2 linked regions of the Caenorhabditis elegans genome follow. The protein of the gene in region 1 interacts with the protein of each later gene in a pairwise test. Each region holds a gene or a part of one and is shown in the gene's direction. Other genes may lie near its edges.

Region 1 (11,479 bases):
AACGTAGTCCTAGTCTGTACCGAAAAATGACTTGATCGTTCTTTGTACACTATAGTGACATAGAATTGTCTCAATAGTCGCCAGTTAGAAAAGGGTTGAACAACACAACGAACGATCGAAAATGACGAAAAATTAACAATGAATGTCAGTTTTTCACGTGAAGTCTGGTAGAATTAGTATAAGAGGAACAAGAAAAGTTTAATTTGTTTCTCCAAAGTCCGTTTTTCGGCAGATTTTTCACTGGAGCACAATAACCAATGGTCTCTTACCGACCTACTTGTCACCCGATTTTATTGTGTTTTGATGTCTTAATTCTAGAATTGTGATCGTTGATTATTTGATTGAGAGGAAAACGAATTCAGATTTCTTATCGAAAAACCTACAATTATAACTTTTCCGATCTGTCAATTTGGCCATTTTTTAATTATTTTTTTTGAAGATTAAAAAAAGTTACCGTTTATTCTCTATTAGTGCGGCATCCCCATTGTTCAACTTTGACATCTCATATCTCGGTCATCTCTTGATTTCAGCCAAAAAACTTTAGCTAAAATGCTTATTAAATCTTTTTCTATGCCTAATGTTTTTGAAATGTACAAAATCACCCAAAACCTTCGAGATATATGCAAGTTGAGCTATGTGGGTGCAGCACTGAAAGAGAATATACGATATATTACCATTTTCAGATAAAATCAACTGTTTAAAACTACATCGAATTAACAAATCTGTAAAAAATGTAACGGTCATTATGACTGAGATCGTGGCGAGACCCACTCAAAAAACAGTGTGTGTCTTTAAACTGATGACGGAAAGAAATTTCGTGAAATTATGTCCTCAGTATTGAAACTTGGCACTCAGAAGATTGTTGCTTTTATAAACTCAGTTCCACAAATTTTTTGGCGCCTGTACATAACGACGGAAAAACTGAAATCAAAATACACGTGCCTTCAAAGTACCTTCTCCAGATTTCAGCTTCCACACGATAATTGTTTTTCGAATAGAAGCTACGTATAAAGCCAAATGTTGATGTAATGCCCGCCTGATTATTATCATTGTAAAGTCCACTTCCTCTAGTAATACGACGATATCACAAAACTAACAATTATCATGAAAAATATGTTCTTTCTATAAGTCAGTTAAAAAATTTATTAAAGACTCAATTTAAAATATCAATTAAGATGTCAATGTTTTGGATTTAGGAACTAGAGATTAAAATTATTTATTTTCTAATGTATAGAGTTTATAAAGTCGACAGGCAGGCACAAAAACTAGTTACAAGACATGTGTAACTTTTATTCATTTTCCAATTTTCGATTGTATCACAAGTCTTTGACTAACTAAGTAAGAAGTAATATCATTTTTGGAAATCTTTCTCTGATTCCACCTGAATATTATCATTGCGACGAGTTATAATTCATGAATCTTCTATATTTACTCCTCAACAAATGTGACTCGTCTTGATCTTTAACTTGAGTGTTGAGCTGGATATCGTCGGATTTGAATAAGATAAGTGGGCGAAAAAATGATACGACATTTTTATTTAATTTATATTCCGAAGTGGTATAGTCAGAGCCTTTTCAAATTTTATGTTTTTTGAACGCAAATATCTGGAAAAATGTTATTAATATATCCAATTGAAATCAATTTTTGATCACAACCGATAGTATCTTTACATACACAAAACACAAATTCTTAGACATAGAAAACAGTTTTTAAGATGCAACCTACATTCTATCAATCAATTTTATAGTTTTTTATAAAAATTCTGACTTCGGAGATTGTATCTTTTTAATGACAGGTGGCTACAAGTATTTGTTTGTTTAACTATAAGGAGAGAGAGTATACTGCATTTATTCCTTGGTTAAAATCCAATAGAAGCATATCTTTATGTATTTCATTAAAGTTTCAAGTTGAAACGTCAACTAATGAAACATTTTCAGGTGTGTATAGAAATAGGGAAGGTGTGAGCCATCCAGTGAGCAATTAACATTTTTGAGCCTACGTGGAGCTCTTTCTCCTGTGTATATTTGGAGCATGTTGACTTTTCGCATAGGACCAAATTTAATTAATTGTTTAAAATATTCGTCAAGGTAAGACGTCAAGTCATTTATTAAATTGTAGTGCACAAAAAGCCGTACTTCTGACTCATGTGTTCAACGTCAGATGAAAATAAATGCTCATTCAACCAAAGATTAGCTCGTTAGAAAAGTTCAGCGATCATAAGAGTTCATTAAGACTGCAAGTTCCAAAGAATCAGAGAGAAATGTCTGGCTTCTCTCTTTTTTTCCTTGATATTTCAGTGAGTCTCTTTGTGTTTCTACTTTGATTCAGGTATCTACAAGATATTTTAGTTTTATTTTTGTCTCGGTGTAGACACAAACGCGCATTCAATTCTAACAGGATTAAAAGAGCAATGCTGTAATATCTGGATTTCTGATCTTTTGGGAGGTATCTGTTTGAAATCAGATTCAACTTTTTGAGCAACTCTTCGTCTATTTAGATACTATTATTGGTACTTGTGTATTACATGCCCTCATTTTTTGAGTAATTTTTAAAGTTAAAAACAATAAAAACGTGTACCACATTTTTGTATTTCTAGGCTTAGGAAATATCCTTTTCTAAGCCTGAAGAGGAAAAATGTTTATCACGTTTATTTTAATTGGAGAAATTAATGAAAATTAAAATGAAGGCATGTAATACACAAGTACCCTATTATTTCCTTTTTCGGAGCGATTTTTGGTCGTTTCTAAGACATATTCGCCCAGATATCATGTTTCTTATTCACTCGTTTTCATGAATATTATATTTTACAAATTTTTGTTTTGTTAGATATTTTTATTGAAGCGATGTTGAACTATTTTTACGGTGAAATTGTGCAGTTTTAAATTTCGGTGCATGTTCGGCAATTGCCCAGAGTAGATTCAGAAATTTCCACAGTTCAATTAATTTTTTAAAGGTTTAACTAAAACAAATAAATATTAAAAAGAAAGTTTCAGGTGATTTTTGGCAGTAGGCATGTTTTTTGTATCAACCTAGAATGCCTAGACGATTACATAAACACCCTTTGCCAGAAAGCCAGAATAAAATGGTTTATCATTATACCTCATTTCATTGAAAAATCATACACCTTCTTATACAGTAAATGTGAATTTTCACATTCTCGAACATATTATATTTGTACAAACAATTTCGATTGTCACATTTTTCAACTAATCTGTGCTAGACACACTAGAAAAAAACCAGTTTCAGGCCTAAAATAACCTGATCGATGAGTTAAAACGAAAATGAATTTTCTATTCAAATATGAGTTTAGCTGAATATTCATAAAGATTGTTCTAACATTATTCAAAACTTTCTAGGAAAATAATATTTAACTTCTAGATAAATTGGTAGTTTTTAATATATTTTGCAGCGAGCACGAAAAGATCAAACATATTTTATTCTATAGAAAACAACTGAATATAATATCAGGGCTTGATCAATGATTTATAAAAATTAAATTTCCAGATTAGAGAACCTACCATCTGTTCAAGCATCTATTTGATAGATTTACAGAACAAATTGATAAAAACTTGAATTTAAAAAAAAAATTTCAAGAGGGCATAACTTTTTTTTTGAAAAGTTTTCAAGAAGTTTCATCATGAAATTCGGCGTTTTCAGACAATTTTGAGTCTAATAAAGAAATAAAAATTCGACTACACCACCTTTACATTTACATCTTTTTTGATCATTTGTGTGTGTATGTGTGTGTGTGTATGTGTGTGTGTGTGTGTGTGTGAATATTTCTGTTTTCTAATATTATGTCTATCCCCGCCGCTAGTGAGCTTTCTGTTGTTGAAATATCTAATAATTAATTGCTACCTTTTTTCCACTATCTTGTCTCTTCCCTATGCCAACTATCTCTGCGTCTCAATTTAAAATCTGTAATAATATATCTATGTCTGTCTCTCTCTCTCATCAACTCAATCTTTTCTCTGTCGTCTCTTGCCCTTCTAACTCTCTCATCACTCGAGACCAACTCTCTTCCCTCTGTCTCTGTGCTGTCCCCGTGGTTACCCTTCCACTTTTCGGTCTCTTTCACCTTTTCTATTTGTCCTTTATGTCTACCCATTTCATGTAATATTTCATTTCACATTCTGTTTCAATGATCATATTCAAAGTTCAGAGACAAAAATAGAATAGTCATGGGAATATGTGCAATGCGTTCAGATACTATGTCTTGCTACTTTCCAACAATTTGAATCTGATTGTATCCTTTTCCAAATAACAATATGTTTTTGATCTAGAATGTGATACTTTCTTCAGCACTTTCAATTTAATTAATAAATTTTATTCTTTCTAATCTTAAATCTTATGAGATATCTCAATTAAGGCAAATAATTTGTCTCGTTCGTAATCTGAAACTTAGAAAAAGTTCAGATACGCAGAGAAACGAAACATAAAAACGACGTCATCACGAGATTTGTTATCGTTTTTTTTGTGGTGAAAGGTGTGGAGAGACTGAAGATAGAGTTGGTTGGCAGACAGTATTTGTCGCTATAAAATTACAAAATTTTGTTTTTTTTTATTGGAAATTTTTTAGCAATGCGCTATATTGAACAATCCATAGAAGAATTAGCGGTTAGAATTATTACTTTTTTTTTCAATGTTTACTTAAAATTGAATTTTAAAATGCAACATTTATGAAACTTTATAATATATTTTATACGAGAATCACTGTTTTGAGTCCTGGCACGAGAAAAACTTTACAACTACTTAGCAATTTTTTGTCCATTTTTCTCGTTGTCTTATTTATGAGAAACTTATAAAATTTGTCACGAAATTGCAACATAATCTATTCAAAGCCTACTGGGTTTAGCTTGAAATCGCATTAAAAAAGTTCACTTAAAATTTTTTGAATTAATTTTTAAAAAGTACCTTAAAGAAATTTTGGCTGAAAATATAAAATTTCGAACTGTTTTGGAAACTATGTTGAACTTTGTCAATTTGTTTGATGAAAAATTAGAATTTTAAAAATTCCCTAAATCATAATATTTTGAATAACATGTTGTACTTTGAATGTAATACTTCGGAGTTAGATTTAGTGTGGTGTTTTTCAGCGACGGATTATTATTTTCTAATCTTCCTACTCTTTGATATTCTCTTATAAAACTTTGCGAATTCTTTGAGAAATCATGGATTTTTGAACACTCGTTATTATTTTAATATTTCTTGAATAACAAGGAAGGAAGCTCAGAGAAAAGTGAGATTTTGTAGAAACTATCTTTCTACGGAATCGTTATTCATTTTTAATCCATTGCATCTCAATCCATTCCATTTCCAGTTTCCTCGTACTTTGCATGTACTTCTTTCTTATTTTTCTAGAAATCTTGTCTTAATTTCAGCCAAATGACGGGTGGAGGTCCGTCATCAAATAACTCGTCTCAACCTGAAGAGGTATGCTTGGTTTGTTCCGATATATCAACTGGTTATCATTATGGAGTTCCCTCATGTAATGGATGGTTTGTTTTTCGTTTTTTTGTTGTTGTTCTAAACCCTTAAATAAAAAATAATTAAAGAGATTCTAAACTTTAAACCAAAAACTCATGAAATTAAATGAATTCAACTTCTGCAAAATTAGCTATTTGTTTTCCGCGAATTCTCATTCCGTTTAATCAACGATTTTTTTCCAAGAAAACTAAAATCCAATTTCTATCAAAAATCAAGAAGCTTAACTGAATTTGTAAGTTGAGATTGCAAAGTCATAATCAGACTCTAATGTTTCGCAGAAAGAAACGTAGTTTATTAAAACGAATTATGGCACAAGGCATAAACTTTTTTTTTGTTTTTGGGGGATCTCGGGAAAAACCTATGAATAAAAAAAGTGTTTGCATTTTGCACGGATATGGTGAATCAATGAATTGGAAACGTAGAACCTTAAAAGGTTCAAATTTATATATTTTTGGCTTCCATCGTAGGCAAGTCCTTAAGCATTGGTTTTATTGTAGGCAGGAAAGTAGGAGAGTTTCATTTTTAGTGTCCGAGAGGGACATGTACCTGGTGCTAGGAATATGGAAATTAACTAAAGAAAAATGGAAAATACAAAAAAAATCGGATTAAACTTTATAATTTTTCAGCAAAACCTTCTTCCGTCGAACAATCATGAAAAACCAAACGTTTAGCTGCCAATTTCAAGGAAAATGTCCAGTTGATAAAAGTTGGTTTGATGATTCTAAATCGTAGATTTAACTCTCTAATTCAGGTATCAGATGTGCGTGTAGGCATTGTCGATTTGAGAAATGTTTACAAGTTGGAATGGATCGAAATGCAATTCAACAGAACAGAGATCCAATTGGATATACAAAAAGAACACGAAGATATCCACCAATTAAAAAAGTTGAAGCCAGTGATGAGTGCTCACCTGCTATGGTAAATTTTTCAAAAATAGAAACGATTGAGCCATTAAGTATTTATGGGTTTCAGTTTTATGTATAATTTTTATTATAGTAAAAACATGTAACACTTTAATTTTGTCTAAAAACGAATAACATTATTTTTTCAAGCAGTGTCTCTAGGAATTTGTCTCAATTACTATTAAAATAAAATAAAAATAAATAAAATCACGATAAAACAATCCAAAAGATTTTATTTCGAAGGTGGAGTAACCAACAGAACTACCCACCTTTTTGATATATTAAAATACTAAAAAATTAAATTTAACTTTTCAACTACTTTTCAACAACTATATTTTCTACGCTAAACACAAATCATGAAAAGTAATTTTGGTGCTTGATCCTCTAGAGTATGCAAATTCCAAGGAAACTAGAGAATATAATTTCACCTGATATTCTAAACAAAAAATTCAATTACACATGTCTATACATAAAGCTAATATATAAATTTAATTTGCAGGTATCTGAAAATGATCGCAGTGAAGACAATTTCCTAACGTTATTATCATCAACGGAACAAAAGTGTTGTGCACTCAGACTTGCAGAATATATGCCATCAAGAACCCTAATAGAAGCAGTTGTATCAGATTGTTTACTTACAGATGAAGTTTTTATGGCTGAACACGCTATTTTGGTTAGTGAATTAGCTGGAAGTCACTTAAAAATGAAATAATTTCAGTCACCGCGACACCGAGTAACATCCCTCAGGTTTGCAAATCAATCAGATTATCATTATTGGCACGAACGAGACTGGTTTGTGATGATCGAATGGGCAAAGACGTTGCCAGTTTTCCAATCACTTCCATTCACGGATAAGGTACGCGTAGTTGTGAGGACTTTAAAGCGTCATAAAAAGTTTCAAAACTTATGAGAAGAAGGTTTCTAGTGGAATCCTAGATTTAAAGTCTGGAAAATCTGGAAAATGTGGGCATTAAGAAATTTTAAATTATTGCAACCTGTTCGTGTGATGTTTAAATTTTGACTAAAAATTCCGGCATCAGGTCTTGGAATATGCGAAAATTTTTACACTTTTACACAATGCACTTTTTTGCCTAATGATCGGGCAGCTGATTTTCTGCAGCTCGAGCTATAGAATATTGATTTTAGATTTAAATTGCCAATCTATTTTTTTTGTTAATTTTCACTAATGTAAGCCTAATTTATTCTTTCAGCTTGCTCTTCTTCGACATTCAGCCATCACATATCCATCATTGGTTCATGTATTCAATTCTCCAGATCATGGTCTTGACACGATTGTCTTCCCAGACGGTGCCTATTTTGACAGAACACCTGAACCAACTCGTCCTCTTGGATTCAACAAAAAGAAGTATCAAATGCTTGATCAATTGTTGAAACCAATGAGATCAATGGAAATTGACATGACTGAATTTGCTGCATTCAAAGCAATTTTCTTTTTGAATCCAGACGCTGATGATGTTGATTCGAATGCAAAAAAGACGTTGAGTGATGGAAGAAGTGCAATTACAAATGCTCTTTATCGGTATATGGTCAAGAAAAAAGGAGCAGAAGATGCTGGGGATAGGTTTGTTTTTTCTCAAGTTCTATTGCTTCATAAACTAAAATTCAAATATTTCCAGATTCGGACGTCTTCTTCTTCTCGGTACTGTCCTCGCCACAATGGCTGTTGAAATGAAAGAAGCAGTTCTTGTTGCTGATTTCTTTGATCAAATCCAATTTTCGACGTTTGCCAAACAACTTTTGTTTGGAATCAAGACTGAATAGGTTATGGAAACAGTTTCCATTATCGTCATAGCGTATCCATAAGTATAATTTCATTCCCATATCTGGTAATAACTCTTTCTCTACATTTTGTCGATATCCATCAACTGTGCCTTACCGTTTTACAAATCAGTGATATTTTATTTCCAACTCATATTAATTCTAATCACACCATGAATTTATTGTTGCCAACGGGTCAAAATCTTTCATCATCATCTAGAAAATGTTCATCTTCTACACCTCAAGTTATTTTTTTAATTCGCCAAATTTCCGATTATTTTCCATTGTGATTTGCAATATACCGATTTGTGGTTTTTAAAAATTGAATTCATATATAAATACTTCGAATTTCTAAAAGTGTTTTTTTGATTGAATAATCAAGATTTCAGATATTGACATTAAACCAACAATTTTGCGGACTGCCGAAAACGGAAAATACGAAAAATTTACAAAAAAACTCATTAAAGTACATAAAATCTCGGATTGAAATTGTGAATAGATCTGAATTGCCAAAATTTCAAATTTTTATCTAAAAACACACATGTTGGTTAATATTTACGTTTGAATTGCATTTTTGAATTCGTAAACATGTATAAATAGATTTTTTCATTTGTATAATAACATCCTGCTGTTTTTCATTTAATTATTTTAACTGACCACTGCACTGAAAGCTGTCTAAACAGTTCGTAAAGCAACACCTCTACAAGAAATAGTGTTGACAAACAAGAGACTACAGACCACACACGGTATAAAATGACCAATTGAAATGAGATGCTATATTGGAATATTTATTTCGAAAAACATCATATTATGAAAAACCTTGGTGCTGCAATTCTAGCTGTAATTTGTCTGCAATATGCTGATTCTGCAGCAGTTTTTGATAGAAATTTCACAAAACCTTATGTGTTGAAAAAGACGTGGGTACAGAATTTCATCAAGTTTCAATATATCTTCGAGGGAAATCAAGGAAAAGCCAAGATTGTTCCATTGGGTAAGTCTAATGTGATTAAAACTCAAGTTTTTGGCGTTCAGAAGTTTCTTTTTCAGAGCTGCTATTAAATATGATGAAAACATTTTTTCAACATCTCCAAACAATCGTTTCTTTAAAATATAGTTTTTTTAACGAACAATTAGCTTTTAATGTTATTTTTCTCAAACTCTCTGAATTTCTAGGTTGCGCTCCGACTAACGTTGATGGTGATAACTATTTGAAACCAGGAGAGAGAACTTTCCAACATGACTTTGTATTTTCTTGTGAAGAAGGAGAGGATGGAGTTTTGAATTATGAAGCGATTGCTTGTATTGATACACAAGGAGAAATAATGCATCCAGGAGAGACAAGAAGTCTCAGTAATGGAACTGTCATTTTACATTGCAATCTTTATGGTGGAGCATTGAAAAAGGTCGTTGAGAGAGGTAAGCTCTGAATGTTTCATGAAATCGAAAAAACTAGTTCATTATTTACAGCTGCTGGTTGTTATTTCAATGAGACGATCTACCCAGAAGAAGAGAAATGGGTTGAACCACAAGTCAATCCAAATGATACATCAATTGATGGACGTCTCATGCAATGTTTTCGTCCGCATTACAGTTACTATGAAAGTCACGTTGTTGGTTGGTCACTGTAGATTTCTAGCTTTCAATTTTTTTTGTGGACTTTCAGGATGTGTGATTGGCAAACTCGGAGTTCTTATCGATGAATTTGGACAACTTCTCGACGGATCATATGTGAAATGTGTAGAGTCAGAGTTTGGACATGTCAGCCTGAAGTCAGCTAATGTTGATGGTATGTTCAACTTCACGGCTAAATTAATTTAAATTATTTCAGAATTGGCTTGTACAATGGACAACAAAACATATGCTCATGCTAGTCAATGGACTGATGTGAAGAAGGGTGCAAATATGAGATGTAACTATCGACATATTGTTAAGGAATGTAAGTACACGTCCAAATTGAAAGATTGTATTTTGTCTTTTTTTTATTACTGATTAGTTTTTTGTTTGTGTATATCAAAACCTTTTCCTTTTCAGCATGCGTCCTCGGAACTGAAATTCTTCCAATTGGCCAAGAAGTTCCAGTTTCCCGTGATTGTATCTTCCTGTGTCATCCACAAACCAATGTTTACATCTGTGACAATTCTTTAGAAGAATTCAAAATTGTTGAGAGTAACGGTGACGATCTAGGCCCAGTCGAAGAGAACAAAATTGTTGAGAAGCTTCCGGAAAATAAGAAGAAATCTTTGAAATCTGTGTTCAAATTCTAAATATCAGATTTTCATTTACTTGTTTTGTTATTTGTAAAAATTCGAAACTTTTTCTTGGGACTCAAAAATAAAAACTAAGTATTGTGTTGTTCTTATTGGTTTTCTCCACTCTTTAAAATAGCAGCGTCTGAAAACAGGGCTACATACCAAGTGGAATTTCTAAATTTACTTTTTTTTTAATGCTGAAACAATAGTGAACGTTTTATATTTGCGTGAACTATAACTTTTATATGTTTGAAATTTAACAAAACCGTGGATATCTTTCTGAAAATTTCTCAATAATTTTATCGCGGCACTTTAACCATGAAAGGTAACTGAATTTTTGTGATATTTTTTGAGAATAATGCAATTTCTCTCGTTCAGGTTTGCTTCTCATAAATCTTCTCACTTTTTTCGTCCTTGGATTTTCTGATGATTCCCAAGAATTTGGTTACTTTGTAAGAGGAATCCCACAAAATTGGAGGGAACATTGGAAATTCAATATGATAAGGATGCCTCACAGAAGAGAAGTTCGTCCGAATTTCGAGCATATTCTTTGGAAAGCAGTTGTGAAAGCTCACGTAGAAAGGAATGCTCCAAGAAAGTCGAGGAAGACTTCAAGATAAGAGATTGACTTTAAAAGTTGTGAATAAAAATTTATTGATCTGTATTTTCTTTGTCCAAAATCAGGTTTTGGAAAATTAGTGGTTCCTCTGGAAAATTGGTGCAACAAAATAACAAAGCAGTTTTTTTTAAATATTAACAGGAATAAAAGTTTGCGTGTGGAAATTATTGAACAGATCTTTAGTTGTACTGTTGGAAGCATGAGAAGACTAATTTACAGAAAAAAAAAACTCTAAAAAAGCAAAAAGGTTCACGAAGCCCGGATTGGCTCATTGCAATTAGAGATATAAAAATTATCATTTAAAAAGGTCATGAATCGGAGAAAATCTAACAACTATTAAGTTCAAATAAAACATTAAAAAAAAACACAAACATTACCTACATAGGTGAGAATCATTTCAAGAGATTCAGAGATGTGAGTGTTCTGGGTGATAGTCAATCAGA
Region 2 (14,060 bases), on another chromosome or scaffold:
ATTATGTACTTACAGATAAAAAAGCAGTCTTTTTTATTCTTTCAGTTTCAGCACACAACTGTTTTTCGGAAGAATCCATGACGAAAAAATATGATAGTAAAGAAAGAATGAATTGAAATGAAACTAAGGCGTCGTTTTATACTATCGTTGCCAGTTACTTCCCGCTGAGCAGCCGACACAGTCTGGATCCGGTCGGCAAAGCTTTTTGCTGGATAAGAAATGTAAATAAGTGAGGGAAATCAGAATGGTGTGTGATCGCTGCCTTTGATGGCCCACTTATATGCAAATTTTCCAACAAGATTCCGGCCCACGATTGCGGTTCTCTGACTGGTTTTCCTCATTTTGAAGTTGGAAACGGAATAGTTTATCTACGGATCGAAAACCTGCAAAATTGCCTCGTGATCATGTTGTTTCCGTATTTTGCAAAATACTTAGCGCATTTAAAATTATAAGTAAAGGAAAACGTTTAAATGTAACTAGAAAATTAAACGTTCTTAAAAGCCTGCTCCGTCTGACATTATGTTTCTCATAGTGTTATTGTAGATATTATGAATAGTTCGTAATATGTTAAAACATTTTTTCCTAATATACATTTTTCAAATGATTAAAACTTAATTTACTTTATTAAACATGGAACTTCCGTATCTTTTAGTTGGCCAAGTCTATTTCAATAAAATTTACACTATGCTGTCCAAAACATCGCCTTTTTTTCGTTAAATTGGTTGTTTTGCAAATGGTTACAATTCAGACAGTAGAAATTCTATCGAGAAGCAATCTAATCACAAAATATTGTCCATACTTTTAAATATATTAAATATTCCAAGAAGTCGTAGTAAAAAATTAAGCGGCAGACAATTTGTAAGACCCTTTTGGATTTTTATTTTTGAATAACATCTTTCAATAAAATTTATTGTTTTTGAATTTTACACATTTGGAAAACTAATAAAATTCTTGAAAAACTAAAAAGCAATACTTTTTGATCAGTACTGTATGTGCGTGTGTATAAAAAATGTTTCCAAAATTGAACTGAAACTGAAAATATATCGTTTTGCATAGAAATCAAAAAATTATGTCACTATAGTTGTCTTACCTTTTTTCATGATTTCACATCTTTTCAAAGTGTTTATTGCCTTTCCAACCAGAAAAAGTTAGATAAAACGCCGACAGGTACGGGTGTCCGTATTCATTGAGATTCTTGCAAGATATGAACGGGTAGATCAATAGTGCAAGTGGCATTTTGGAAATTTGTTCAAAACATAATCGTCTAGCGGACTTTGTGAAAGTTAATGGAAAAAGTAAAAGTGGAAAATTTAGAAATGCGTACATGTTTTCTTATTTAATGTTTTTCTTGTTCTAACAGAAACGTGAAAATGTTCATCAAATGTGTCGAATTCCCATTTGTTTCAAATTTGTATAAATGAAATGTCTGATCAGTCGAAATAAGAAGGGAAAAAACAGACATAAACACACGCATATATTTCAAGCTTAAAACATAACACATCTATAATTAACCTTAAATTACGTCAATGAATTTTCAAAGGGCATATACTGCAGAATTTGCAGACTTATGTGATCACATTGGTGGGAAAAGTAAGTAACAGGTCAGTGTGTTCAAAGTTTACGTCAAACAAAAAAGAATACCTGAAGCAGTTTTAAGAATCGAAAGTCACAAGTCTGAATGAAATATCAATGACAGATAACTGAAGCGCATCCTAACATGACAAAACGTATATCACGCCCTCTCATTAATAACTGCTCATTTATAAAAGCTCAAGAGAGAGAGACAATGAGCCCGTCCATTGCAACCAGAATTTTACTGAAAAAATTATTTTTGCGCTCTTTATATGTCTACAAAATACATCCCATAATGACGAAACAAATATCAGAATCAGTTGGGAAAGTTGAACAAACTGTAAGTAATTTATAATATAAACTTCATTTGTGGTACATTTTAAAACAAGTTTTTCACAATATTGGAGTTTAATTAGGTTTTTTAGCCCTTTACCAAAATTAAAAATTTTAGTCATATTATTCATCTGCGCAAAGACCTTTGGGAGTAAAGTAAACAATACAGTATTACTCAAAGATGAATCTCAATAGGTTACCACTGAACTTTATCAAAATCGTTTTTAAATGTGCACATTTATCTCAACCGAAATTTATGATAAATTAGTTCCATTACAAAATGAAAAACATTATTTTTCTGTAAACTTGTAAAATCATGAAAATGAACGAATTATCATCATTTTTACAGTTTTTCAAGAACTTTCAAACTTTTCATGAATGCAGAAATATTTTTAAAAGGTGGAGTAGCTCCAGTAGGGATTAAAAAAACACTTAAAAAATCTCGAGCAAATGGGAATGCTACAATAATAGTTAGACCTCAATTAAAATATAAAATTTGTAGAAAACAATTTTTTTTGGTCGACTTTCAAACTTAGGATAGGTGAAAACTGAGTAATTGCCATTATATCCTGTTAAGTAAAACCTTTTTATTTTTAATAACGGGTTTTTTAAAAGTTGTAATTTCATCATTATATGAGTGTCTTTTTTTTGATAATATATAGTTGTTTTTTTTTATATTTCATGAATAATAAAGGTCAAACAACTAAATTACTTTTTTTTAAAGTTGTTAACATGTGGATAATAAAGTAATCGTACATATTTTACTATATCCAACAGGACTTATTTTCAATTTCCTGTTATAGGTGCACAAAGAGATGCTTTATGTTAAAAATAATAACATATAAAATATTTTAAATGTGACACATCTTTTTTAAACACAATCATTCTGGAACTATTGTACTTTTGCAATTGTTAATCATTCCTAATCAGTTATTGAAAATTATTTCAACATGTTGATTGCAATCATCGTACTAAACGGGATTATAAAATCTCACGATGTACTTTTGGTTTTCTTGACTTAAAATTCAGACAAAATTGAGGGGTTTTCGAAATGTGAGGATACCGCCTCTTCACTACCGATTGAACTTATTTTAAAATGTTCATTTGTTTACAAATCTCCAATTGATCTAAACTTTCATCAGCTTTTAATGCCCATCTTAGATGTTAGAGTTTGCAAGCGCCACCTACCAGAAAACGTGTGCTCGTTCTGTTTGAGTGAATCTACTGGGTGGCATGTTGGTATTGGTATCAGAATTCTTTGTTCTTTCACGAAAAATTGTATAATATGCATACCACGTAACTCTACAGAATACTAGTTTGACTACCCGGAATGATAAACAAGTCGTCGAATTCGAAATGTCTATTTGTGGAACGCCATTTGAAATTTAAAGTTTGATTTGGTGGAAACGCGTTCGTATTTGTATCCTATTTAAGTACTCAAACTCGACTACAATTTAGATTCAACAATTCCTTGTTTTCCTGGAGTCATTAGCGTAGAAAAAATCGATACATGTAATACCTCCTTATCCTCCTCTTCGAGTACCAAGATTTAAATTAAGATTTTACTAAAAATGACATCACTCCGCAGTGCGCCCGGTTAGGATACCCGATTGATTGAAAATCGCGATAGTCAGGGGTGCCGCGTATGGTATATTCACCGGCTACAAAACACGAAAACTGTAACTCATGGATTCAAGCAGACGCGTTGGATATGGATATTGAAATAACTGTTCTAATGAACAAATAGTATTTGTATGAACATCATGTCTATGAATCACGCTGCGGGGTTCTGTTTTCTTGATCGGTTGAGTCTTTATCGTCTATTTTATTATCATCGGGGGACTGAGGTGATTATGAGTCGGAGACATTTCACGTTCCTCTTCCTGATATTCAAATCTCTGACAAGCGGTCCCATCCCTTCTCCTTCTCATCACTATCAAACTAGACACAAAGGACGGCCTCATGGGGCTACTTCCAACTGCTGGCGTCTGACCGTAAGGGGCGGCCCGGTTCATTGACCAACAGTTTGCTGCTGCTGCGACGGAGGGCAAATCGCTGGTGAACCAACCGTTGCCGGTGCGCATCTTAACATAAGGCCCCGCCTTCGTCCTCGCCCACCACCCGAAAACCTCTTCCTCCTCGGTGGTCGATGAGTTCCGATTGTTATTAACTAGCAATCTTCTATACTGATTTTCTACCTTTACTTTTTTTCTCACCTTTTCGATATACTCTCATTCATAACTATTTAACTATTTCTCTATTGCAACAGTGTGCTCTGACAACAATTAAAGCAGCGACCAAATCACGACTGTATGATCCTCAACGCGCATCTTTTCTCCGGTCTCACCATTCTTCCTTCTTTCTCTTCCGATTACCCTGTCGAACTGTCTTACGCACCTTCAAATTCGTGGTCAACTCCCAACTCGACACCATCACCATCATTATCAAAATCGAGTTCGCCAAAGGTAGGTCTAACTGAAAACAGAGGGAGACAGTTGTGTTATCTTGGATTTCATCGTAACAGCGATTAAATCAAGTGACTGTCTTTTTTCAATATTGCGAGCCATAAATGTTTGAACAATAGCTAGACTATTATAAGCATCACAAAAAAAATTGAAAATTAAAATTCCTATTAATCGTATTTTCCAATAGCGAATGAAAATAAAAGTCGACACATCACTGATATGGCTTGTATTTAGTTATTCTAGGATCCTATGCTATTCCCTCTCGATTCTGTGGCGCGCAACAATTTCCTGTTTAGATCATTCTTGTGCCTTCTGATATCTTTTTGGTGTGTTACAGTAACAACTCAATAAAGGTTTTTTTTCGCTTTGTTTGGAAAGTGTGCTATAAAACTACGAAAATTTCGTACTTTAAAGCAGGAGCACCTGAAATTCGAATGATAAAATTGTTGTCCGTGTATCCTATGATAGCAACATGTTACTGATCAGTATTATGGGAAAGGGCATGTGAAAACTAGTAAACAAATTTTCTATTTTAAGGCTCAGTAAATGCAACGCCGAGAATGTGAACGTTGCAATTAAACTCCACATGTCTCGTAGTGGAAATTTCCATTCCTAATCCTTATCCTTTCGAAACATTAAAAGTCACACGCGGAATTTTAGTAATTAGACAAATTGTGATCGCCGGGGTGTGTTTTGATCGTGCGTGAAGTGCGGCAGTCACTAGATATTTAAGTGCCGTAGACTTCACCGGAAGGACTAAATTTAGCCATGTTTTGAACCGTTGTACTTTTTCGTTTACAGTGTCTCAAGTACTCAATTGTCTAGTTGAGATTTTGCATAATTTTTTCAAATTCATTTTTTACAGTGAAAAGTAAAATTGAAAAAAAAAATCATTTTTCGAACATTTTGTGAGAAACATCTATCATCACACACAAAATATCAATCCATATCAGTAGAAAAACTGATAATTCCAATATGACTCAGTTCAGCATAATTCGTGGCGAGTGAAAACGTCACTGAATAAATAATGGTTGACTCTGACTAAACCATCTGTAATGTCCGTGTAAAATAAACGTGTTGACGACATGCCTGAAGGAAAAATCTATTAGGCAAGGGGTTTCCTTAAAACAAAATGAAAACAAAAAAAAGTGAGATACTGTTTTTTCAGCCAACCGTGTCACAAGCTAAAGAACGAAGAGTTTTCGATCTACCATGTGCAGTTTGCTTATATCCAGCCACTGGCTATCATTATAACGTGAGTTCATTGTTGTTCTAGCTGCACTACAGGTGGTACAATTAACTTTTTTCAGGTAGCATCTTGCAACGGATGCAAAACGTTTTTCAGACGGTGTGTTCTCTCGGGCTCTAGTTACCGATGTATTCGCGGCGATTCAAATTGCCTGTTAAACATGCGTCTCGTGGCGGGTAAGTTCAAATAGTATTGTTTGTAGTTGCAAACAATTCCAAGCGTGGCAGGGGTTTCATTCATTCATTACGTAGCCGATTCGGTCTCCAGTTGTACTTTGTTTTGACGTATGAAAAGAACTTGGTCAGTTGAACACAGTGTAGGGTGCGCTTTTAGAGTTTTAAATCGTGTTTTAATATAAATAATAGATCATGAAACAGTTCGAACAAGTACATGGTTATTTTTAATTGGTGTTAGTTAGTCAATAACTTTTTGGGGTGTACTTTCATTTTGTTCTAGTTAGTGATATTAGTAAGAATATAGACGGAGTGTATGAAAGAATACCAAGAAGTACATTCTTTGGAAAGTCTTTTGTTGAGCTTTCTATTCGTTTTTCAAAACAAATCTTGTCCTGTATTTCTTAGATTTTGTTTTATACTTTTCTTTTATACTCATACTAACATGACAAAATAGAACAGAATAAGGCGAAAGACCTACAAGTGATAAACCCTTAAAAGAGAAGTATCAGTTCTGGGTTTTAGCTTGCATAGTCTTAAAATGTGCTCAAATAAGCGAATTTTGTAATGAAAATTTCTAAAAAAAAATTTAAAAAATGGTTTTTAGCGGTTCAAAGTTTACAACAAATTAGATAGTTTCAGCTAACAACATTTTAGCAGTATTTCCGTGTCGCAGCTCTCGCAAGTTCATTTTTTCTCAAAGTATTATCCTTCATTGTATATTGGTACCGTTCATCTCACATTTAATTAAGATGGATTCATAGTTGATAGATAACATTTTTGGCAATTTTTGGCTATCTATTAGCTTTCAGTGTACTTTAAGCAACGAAATAACCTGAGATAAACGACCAAATTATGCAATAAAAGATGATATTTCAAAAAAGTAAATCAACTTCGGATTGCTGGAAAAATTGACTAACAAAATGTAGGATTTTGTTTCAAAATTTTGAACAACCATCTGAATTTCGTAAAATATCGGAGAAGTTGCATTACTAAAATGGTTAATTGGAGCTTATACGTTCAGAATACATAAAAACGTTACTCCTTCTTAAAAAATGATTCAAGAAAGTTCAACCTTTCGAAAAATCATTCCATTTTCAACAACCATTTGATCACTTCAAAAAACGTTCATAGAGTTCAGCAACTATCAAGAAATATATTTAATCCTTATTGACCTGACCAGAGTCACCTGAATGTGTCGTGGTTGCATGTTTCGTTTTCCCGTTGTTTAGTCGTTTTCTTAACAAAAATCAACTTCAATTACAAACATTTCTTCCTTTTCGTTTTCGATTAGCATATAGCTGAGAGCAGAAATCAAACCATCTGTTTGTTGAGGCTTATAAATTCTGTTTTGGTTTTGTAAGAAAACGGCATTTGATTTCATACTACGAAAAAATAAATTTAAACTGGATTTGAGTTTTTTTAAAAACATTTTGAGAATTTATTCTTGTTCTTTACTTTTTGACGCCAACACATTTTTTTTTTCAAAAGTCACATTTGAATAAGTTTAAATAATAATGTGAACTCTGGTAGGCAGACGACAGATCGTTCAAAAATGCACGCAATGGTGTGTAATCAGTGATCATTCTATTGCACTTGTAAGATAAGCGGTCTATATTCTCAAGAAATAGCGTAACATCATGTGGCAAAAGTGTCCTCGCCAAAAACATCTGGGATTCGACATTCGAGATCAGTCAGAATTCGTCGAACAAATGGCTCTTTCAGTTTTTGTTTTATTTTTTCTAATCGTCTTATTCCCCGAACAGGGTTTCATGTGTTTTGTTTCAGGAGCACGAATCAAGTGTCGCAGTTGCAGACTAGATCGTTGTCTTCAACAAGGAATGCGAAAAGAAGGTATTTTTATCATTTTCTTTTCAAATCTATTTTATCTTAAAATCATGCGTACATAATTCAAAATGGGGTCAAGATGTGATATTAATCTAACACATTGTATTCAACCTTCGTTCTTATCATATTTTGACCATCAAAACATTTTGTGTTTGTATAGAAAAACATTACAAACAGAAAAAAAACTATTGAAAACATGTGTAATAGTTAATCATTGTTTTGTTACAGCAGTCACGTCAGGAATAGTTGGAAACGAAGAAAAAGTCGCGCCACAAACTGCTTATCTTGCCTCGATCTCGCTACCGGTACGGTTTTCAATAATTTTCCGTAAAGAGACGATTCAAAGGGATTTAAAAGTAGAATATCATCAGTGGGATTATTGTTACTCTAAATTTACTATCATCTTTCCAAAATGACTGAATATCATGATAAAACACTCCAAAAAACGTTAGATTTTTCAAAAAAAATTTTTTGTCAACTTTTAGGTATGTTGCCAAATGCACTTTTTGAGAAATTTTGAAAATTTCTGCTGGTTTAAAGTCCTGGGTGTGCAGAGTTCAAAGAAGCTGATTAATTTTTTTTAAATTGAACATAGCTTCTCATTTTGGAGAGAATTCAAATGGGATTGAATTTTAAAATATAGATTTTTCATCCTTCTGCTGTTTTGTTTTCCTTTTATGTTTTTCAAGCTACTTTTCCTTTAAAAAATTAAAAGAAGTTTTGAAAAGTTTTGCTATGATATTTTGTCATTTTTGCGAGATATGACTAGTTTCAAACAATTTACTCAAATGCGATTCTTAAACCTTTAAAAAGATGAGTGATGTTTTACATTTTGCAAAGATTGACACATCACACTTGAAGTCACACATTGGATTTTTTTGAAACATCGTTTAATGTGCAGCTGATTCCAATAAATCGGATCAAGCTTCAAGCTTTACTCTGATTTCTTGTTCGCTTTTACTTGTTTCTTTGATATTCTGCCGTTAGTGTTACAAACGTGATTAAAATCCGTTCAATTAGATGAGGACAAAAAAGCGAACGTTCTTTGTAATCAGAAAAAAAGTGACGTCATGACCAAATCCTTCGAAACCATAGTGAACCCTTCTCGAGATTTATTATCACTAAGAGAGACAAGGAAAAATCTCGATAATTTTATCCGTTGGCCTCGTATTCAATGAGGAAGCTGTTGTCTAACATGTGATCACAAATGATAAAGATACTTCCTTTTCTATCCTTGTTCCTTGTTGCAAAACTTATCAGAAAAATGTTTCCTGGAGAGTTTAAACTTTCTAATTAAGATTGTTCAGAGTACATCTACCGCGATTCCGAAAGTTACCGAAACGGCTTCTTGCTTGCGACAAACCCTACGACTCATCACTAAATTCAGGTATTGACTTTTTTATCGCGTTTAAAATAATGTTGACCAACACCGTCGGTAGTTGCAAGACATGGAGATGAAAATAGCGAAGACGTGATGCGTTTATCACCACCACCACTTCCTTGTTGCCTTTCGCAGTGACAGCGATCAGAAAATAATGATTAAGAAACTTGTTGTAGGGTTAGACATCAAGAACGTTATTCTGTGAGAGATTCTATACTGAAAAGTTGTAAATCAACTACAGTAATCTGCTTAATTGGCATTTTCACAGAATTTTAAACGACTTGATAGGACAAAAGGAGAGAAGACACTCAGTAAAAAGTAAACAAATAATTTCAGAAAATGTAATATAATCGTGGAGAAGATAGATCTACACATCAGTGCACTCCTGACTATGCCCAGTTTCTTGGACAACCTAAATAATTATCAGGTACATCCCACGTGCACTATGTGATTTTTTTTCTCGATCGTGATATATGATGGATGGGAAGAACTATTTTTGATAAACTTCGATTATCTATTTCAGGAAGAAACCGACTTCAAAAGAGATCTTCCTGAATGGTGTACGATTGATTTACTATGTGCTATCGAATTTGCTAAAAAATTACCTGATTTATCCAAATTTTCGGATTCTGATAAGGTAAAACACGGTATTTTTTAAATGCCGGTGATTTAAATTTGCTCAGCGTAAAGAACGTGTTTTTTGGTTATCGTTTAGGAGATGTGTCGTAAAGCATTTGTGGTAGTGTACTAGCCATATCTCTAAATGCTGCCCATTTATAAAAACAAAAAAGTGAATCTTTTTGGTATTTTAAAATTAGAATTGTTTATGACTAACTATAAGTATGGAAATAAGTTTTGAATAATTATTCCCGTGTTGGTTGGTTAAATTGAAAATATTATACGGTACAGCTACCACACAGTGCTCAATTTTGTTCTACGCAGTCATACTATTAATAAAAAGGTAACCTACAAAAAAGTATCATAATGTACGAGAAAAGTCGACCGAAAAATTAAAAAAAACCGGATAGAAGCGGAGCATATTATTATATGATTCTCGTGTCTGGCTAATATTTCTATCAATTGGAAAAAAAAACAATTCTCTCATTTTTTATCTTGCACAAATATTCTTACTGAAAATACTGAATACTACAGATCGATTATATGATCATACAAGTTATAGACTGACTTTAAGCCAATTGAAACACACAAATAAATATACTTTTGTGATCATTTGTATATATTTACAGGAAGAGCTTATTCGGAATTCATGCTTTACAATAGCAATAGCTATCGAAGCAATTGAAAGCTACTTTGACAAAAAGAAAACAGTTGTTATGCCCGACGGTACTGATGTCATGCAATCTCTAGCTAATTCGTGAGTTTCCGATGTTTTGAATTGGTGATAACACCACGATTAGATTGATCGGAATTAAAATAAGGTGTCTATTGTGTCTTGTGATGATGAATCAAAAGTTTATTAGGCTGATGAAAAAAAAATGCGATTATTCCTGTTCACAAATTATGTGTTTTACAGGGGTTCTGTGATACACGCCGTATTTACTCAAATGTTTGTCTGCATTTTGGATCCATTACATCGAGAATCATTCACAATCGATGAGCTGGTCTTGACACTACAATTGCTCTTTTTCACAATTGGTGGGTACAAAGAATATAGTGCAGGAACAGGAAAGCTATCAGCACATAAAATTTTCAACTATTAAATAATTTGTAATCTGACTACACAAATAGAAAACTATGAGTTTTCAGCAGCGCCGGAAAATTTAACACCGGAAGGCAAAGAACAATTGGAAAAATCTGTGAAATCTAGCATGCATTGCTTAATGGTTTTGCTCATTACACAAAGTAAGCCCAATGATCAGTAAACGTGACAACAACTGCGAAAATTTCAGATACAACTAACTTTTCGGCACGTTACGGATCCTTGATTGCACTAAACGAAACGTTCATCAAAACAGCCCACGCACATAGTATGTTACACATGAGAAGTATTTATTAAACTATTGATTTATTTATTTCAGAGCAAAAAATGAAGGAAGCTGAACACTCTCGACAGAAATTTCGCGACTTTCTCATTGAACAATGTGTTTTCGATTATCGTCCAGCAAAATAAACATGCCGTATTAGTAATTTAAGTAGTACAATTGTCCTATGTTCTCATGAAATCTCAGAAATTTATTTGTATATTATTCTATTTGTGAAAAAGTGTTGTGTCATATAAATATTTATGTGAAAAAATGTTCTGCAAATAATTTCTGTAAAGCAACAAACATAAACAGAACGCTTCGAAACGTCTGCTTTTAAAATAAATTACATATTATTTACATTTACTCAAATTTTGTTTGTAACAGAATTACAACATTGATCATATGGCAAATGATAGTGAATTACTAAACAATTAAAATATAAAAACGTCGAAAAACATTGCTAATCAACTTGGGCTCCTAAAATCAAAGACCACCGTGTTTAAAATCAGGAGTGGGAAGCTAATAGTCAATTTAGCCGATTTTGTCAATTGGCTAATTTGGCAAATCGGCTAATATCAACCGAAGTAGCCATTAGCTGAACATTATCCCGATTAACTGCAATAGCCCTTAATCGTATTTTTTTAGCAATGCGGCTTATTTGCCGTCAGCCGATAGCCGATTTTGGCGGATGTTAGCCGGATTTCTGGTAAAAAACTGTTTAAAAAAACTGCTCTTTGTGAGTGAACTGGTATCAAAATCCAGTTTACTTTTTTAGATTAAATTAGTGCGGCAAGCACTAATTTCTGGGGTCTTTGCGACCTGTGCACTGTTAGAGACTGCTGGACTACTGGGGACTGTTGCACCAACATTCGATAATTACTTTTTATTTCGAAGTTACTTTTTTTTCTGTTTGTTTGATTTTCGAAAGTAGTAACTTCAAAGTTCACAAAAACTCATATTTTATGTGAAAATTCATTTAAAAACATTTGTCTTTTTGCCTTACAAAGACACTAAAATGCAATGTTTAATCGAAATTTTGTAAGAAATCATAGAAAAATGAACAAGAAAAATGAACAATTAAAGTAATCAACTATTTTAGGTGACATTCGCACTAAAAAAAGGATGCCGCGCTTGCACTCACAGAGAATATACGGTATCTATACTAAAATACTAGAGCTTTGAAATCTAAACCGGTTTATTTTCATTTACTATTTTGATGCAATTATACAAATTTCTAGCTTCTTGTGTTAGTTTTTTGGAAACAATTTTTGTATTCGTTCTTCTTTCAAATAGATTACCAAACAGACGTGTCAGCAACAAAATTTTGGATAACAAACACCAAGGCCTAAATTCAAACTTAGTCCTTCATTCTAAAAACTTCACAATTAGGCTCAGTTTTTTCTGCGCAGGGATCCTTCATGCCAAAATTGGTACATGATTTTTAAGTCTCTTTATCTGACTAATATCTGGTCATTTCCTTCTGACTCAAGTCTTCAGGATTCAAGTTTTGGTCTTTTGTCGGCTATTATGTTTAGGACTCCATGTTTCAATTTCATTTTTCGGCTTATAAAACAACAATTCTAAGAATAAAAATACAGAACTTTTAAGGAGATCAAATATTATGAACACATTTCAACCTTACTCTAATTAAATATTGTAAATTAAGTTGTACGAGTAAATTTAAAATCAACTTTTACTTTTTATTATTGAATTTCAAGAAATTCAAAGTAATCTGAATTGGTTGCATTTGAGATCAAACAGATGAGTAACATTCACATCAAGTAGGTAGGTGGTCTGAAAATGAAGGAAAATCACAGAAATTAGATAAATGATACATGATTATCATAAAAGGTATGTGGAAATAAAGTATATTTACAAAAATAAAACATAATTCTAATGTTGCTAGTTATTCCCATTCCCAACAAGATTCCAATGTTATGTGCACAATCTCTGGCAAGTCAAGTTCAGTCGACACCGAGAAAAAAATCCAATCGGTAACCCAAGTATCACTGGACGCCGAATTATTTTTCGATGTTTACTAGTTACTCACTTGACGCTAATTGAACTGAAATCGGCTAAAATTGGACTGACAACGACGAAAGAAAGGTCAGCCGATGTCGATTGGACAGAGGTCTTCGCGCAAAAAAGTCAATCAACACCGATTGACTTTCGGCAGAGATCGGCATTTTCTGGACATCGAATCTTACTTTGGCGTCGATTGGATTTTTTCTGGACGCCGATTAATTCTGACTTGCCAGAGATCAAGCAAAAATTCTATCAATGCAAATGAAATTGAATGAATATTATAAAACTTCTTCCATAACATCATCCACCAAATCGAACTTGAATCCTTTTTTCATCATCTTCATTATAAAATGGAAATCTTTCTGATTTTTCTGACGATTTTCCAATCCGTTGCTGAGTGCAATAATTGCAGCATAATGAGCTGGTCCCTTCATTCCACGATTAGCCAAACAGTATTTCATGAGGGCTTTGCTATATTTTTCTTTTTCTCGAGTCACCACTTCCCTTGCATGATCAGACAATCCGGAAATAGCTAAAAAAAAGTAGGTGTTGGCAATGACTCTCATAAAATAATCTTTAAACATTTTTGGGAAGTCTCATTTCAAAATGCGTTTATTTGAGCACGCATCAAGTCCATACGAGCAAAACAAAACTCAGACCCATTACTCCTTCCTTAAACAAACATTTTGAAACATTTTACAAAAATACTTACTCGCATTACATAATGTAATCGCTTTGAACAAAACATATTCTCTTTTATCCAACTGATATGTCACAAATTGACGTATGGAAAGTGTGAATTCTTCTTTCATTTCTTCCATTTTTTGTTTTGTCATCATTTGACTAATACTATCGTTCGGATTTTCATTTTTCTTCCAGGAATGTGGTGGCACAGTTCCATCCGGGTGAAAAATCATATCGTATTTATTTTCATACGAGTAGAATGCTTGATTCAAGTGCATAAGTTTTAAAACAACGGCGCGAAGGAGTAGAATCTGAAAACATTTCGGTGAAGCATTTGGTTTAATT

The links.
Region 2: the proteins of nhr-10 (region 1) and nhr-137 interact in a two-hybrid assay, tested with the Caenorhabditis elegans proteins (one large-scale study listed by BioGRID).

The regions. Positions count from the first base shown.
Region 1 is NC_003281.10:7,109,341-7,120,819, reverse strand, and holds nhr-10 (Nuclear hormone receptor family member nhr-10), read left to right. Parts: upstream 1-5,381; 5' UTR 5,382-5,385; coding exon 5,386-5,498; intron 5,499-6,113; coding exon 6,114-6,193; intron 6,194-6,238; coding exon 6,239-6,405; intron 6,406-6,888; coding exon 6,889-7,062; intron 7,063-7,107; coding exon 7,108-7,245; intron 7,246-7,600; coding exon 7,601-7,971; intron 7,972-8,026; coding exon 8,027-8,171; 3' UTR 8,172-8,525; downstream 8,526-11,479. Other genes in the region: B0280.7 (uncharacterized protein), read left to right, coding at 8,979-9,159, 9,342-9,584, 9,636-9,782, 9,832-9,954, 9,997-10,104, 10,200-10,432. UniProt on the Caenorhabditis elegans protein: Probable transcription factor that acts in a feed-forward loop with nhr-68 to activate genes involved in the vitamin B12-independent breakdown of the short-chain fatty acid propionate.
Region 2 is NC_003284.9:6,659,002-6,673,061, reverse strand, and holds nhr-137 (Nuclear receptor), read left to right. Parts: upstream 1-4,050; 5' UTR 4,051-4,217; coding exon 4,218-4,370; intron 4,371-5,538; coding exon 5,539-5,625; intron 5,626-5,680; coding exon 5,681-5,795; intron 5,796-6,999; exon of another isoform or gene 7,000-7,148; intron 7,149-7,380; exon of another isoform or gene 7,381-7,432; coding exon of another isoform or gene 7,433-7,580; coding exon 7,581-7,646; intron 7,647-7,868; coding exon 7,869-7,945; intron 7,946-8,947; coding exon 8,948-9,027; intron 9,028-9,357; coding exon 9,358-9,448; intron 9,449-9,544; coding exon 9,545-9,658; intron 9,659-10,268; coding exon 10,269-10,396; intron 10,397-10,555; coding exon 10,556-10,677; intron 10,678-10,788; coding exon 10,789-10,884; intron 10,885-10,931; coding exon 10,932-11,009; intron 11,010-11,060; coding exon 11,061-11,152; 3' UTR 11,153-11,277; downstream 11,278-14,060. Other genes in the region: col-172 (Nematode cuticle collagen N-terminal domain-containing protein), read right to left, coding at 14-79; nhr-173 (Nuclear receptor), read right to left, coding at 13,310-13,563, 13,744-14,026.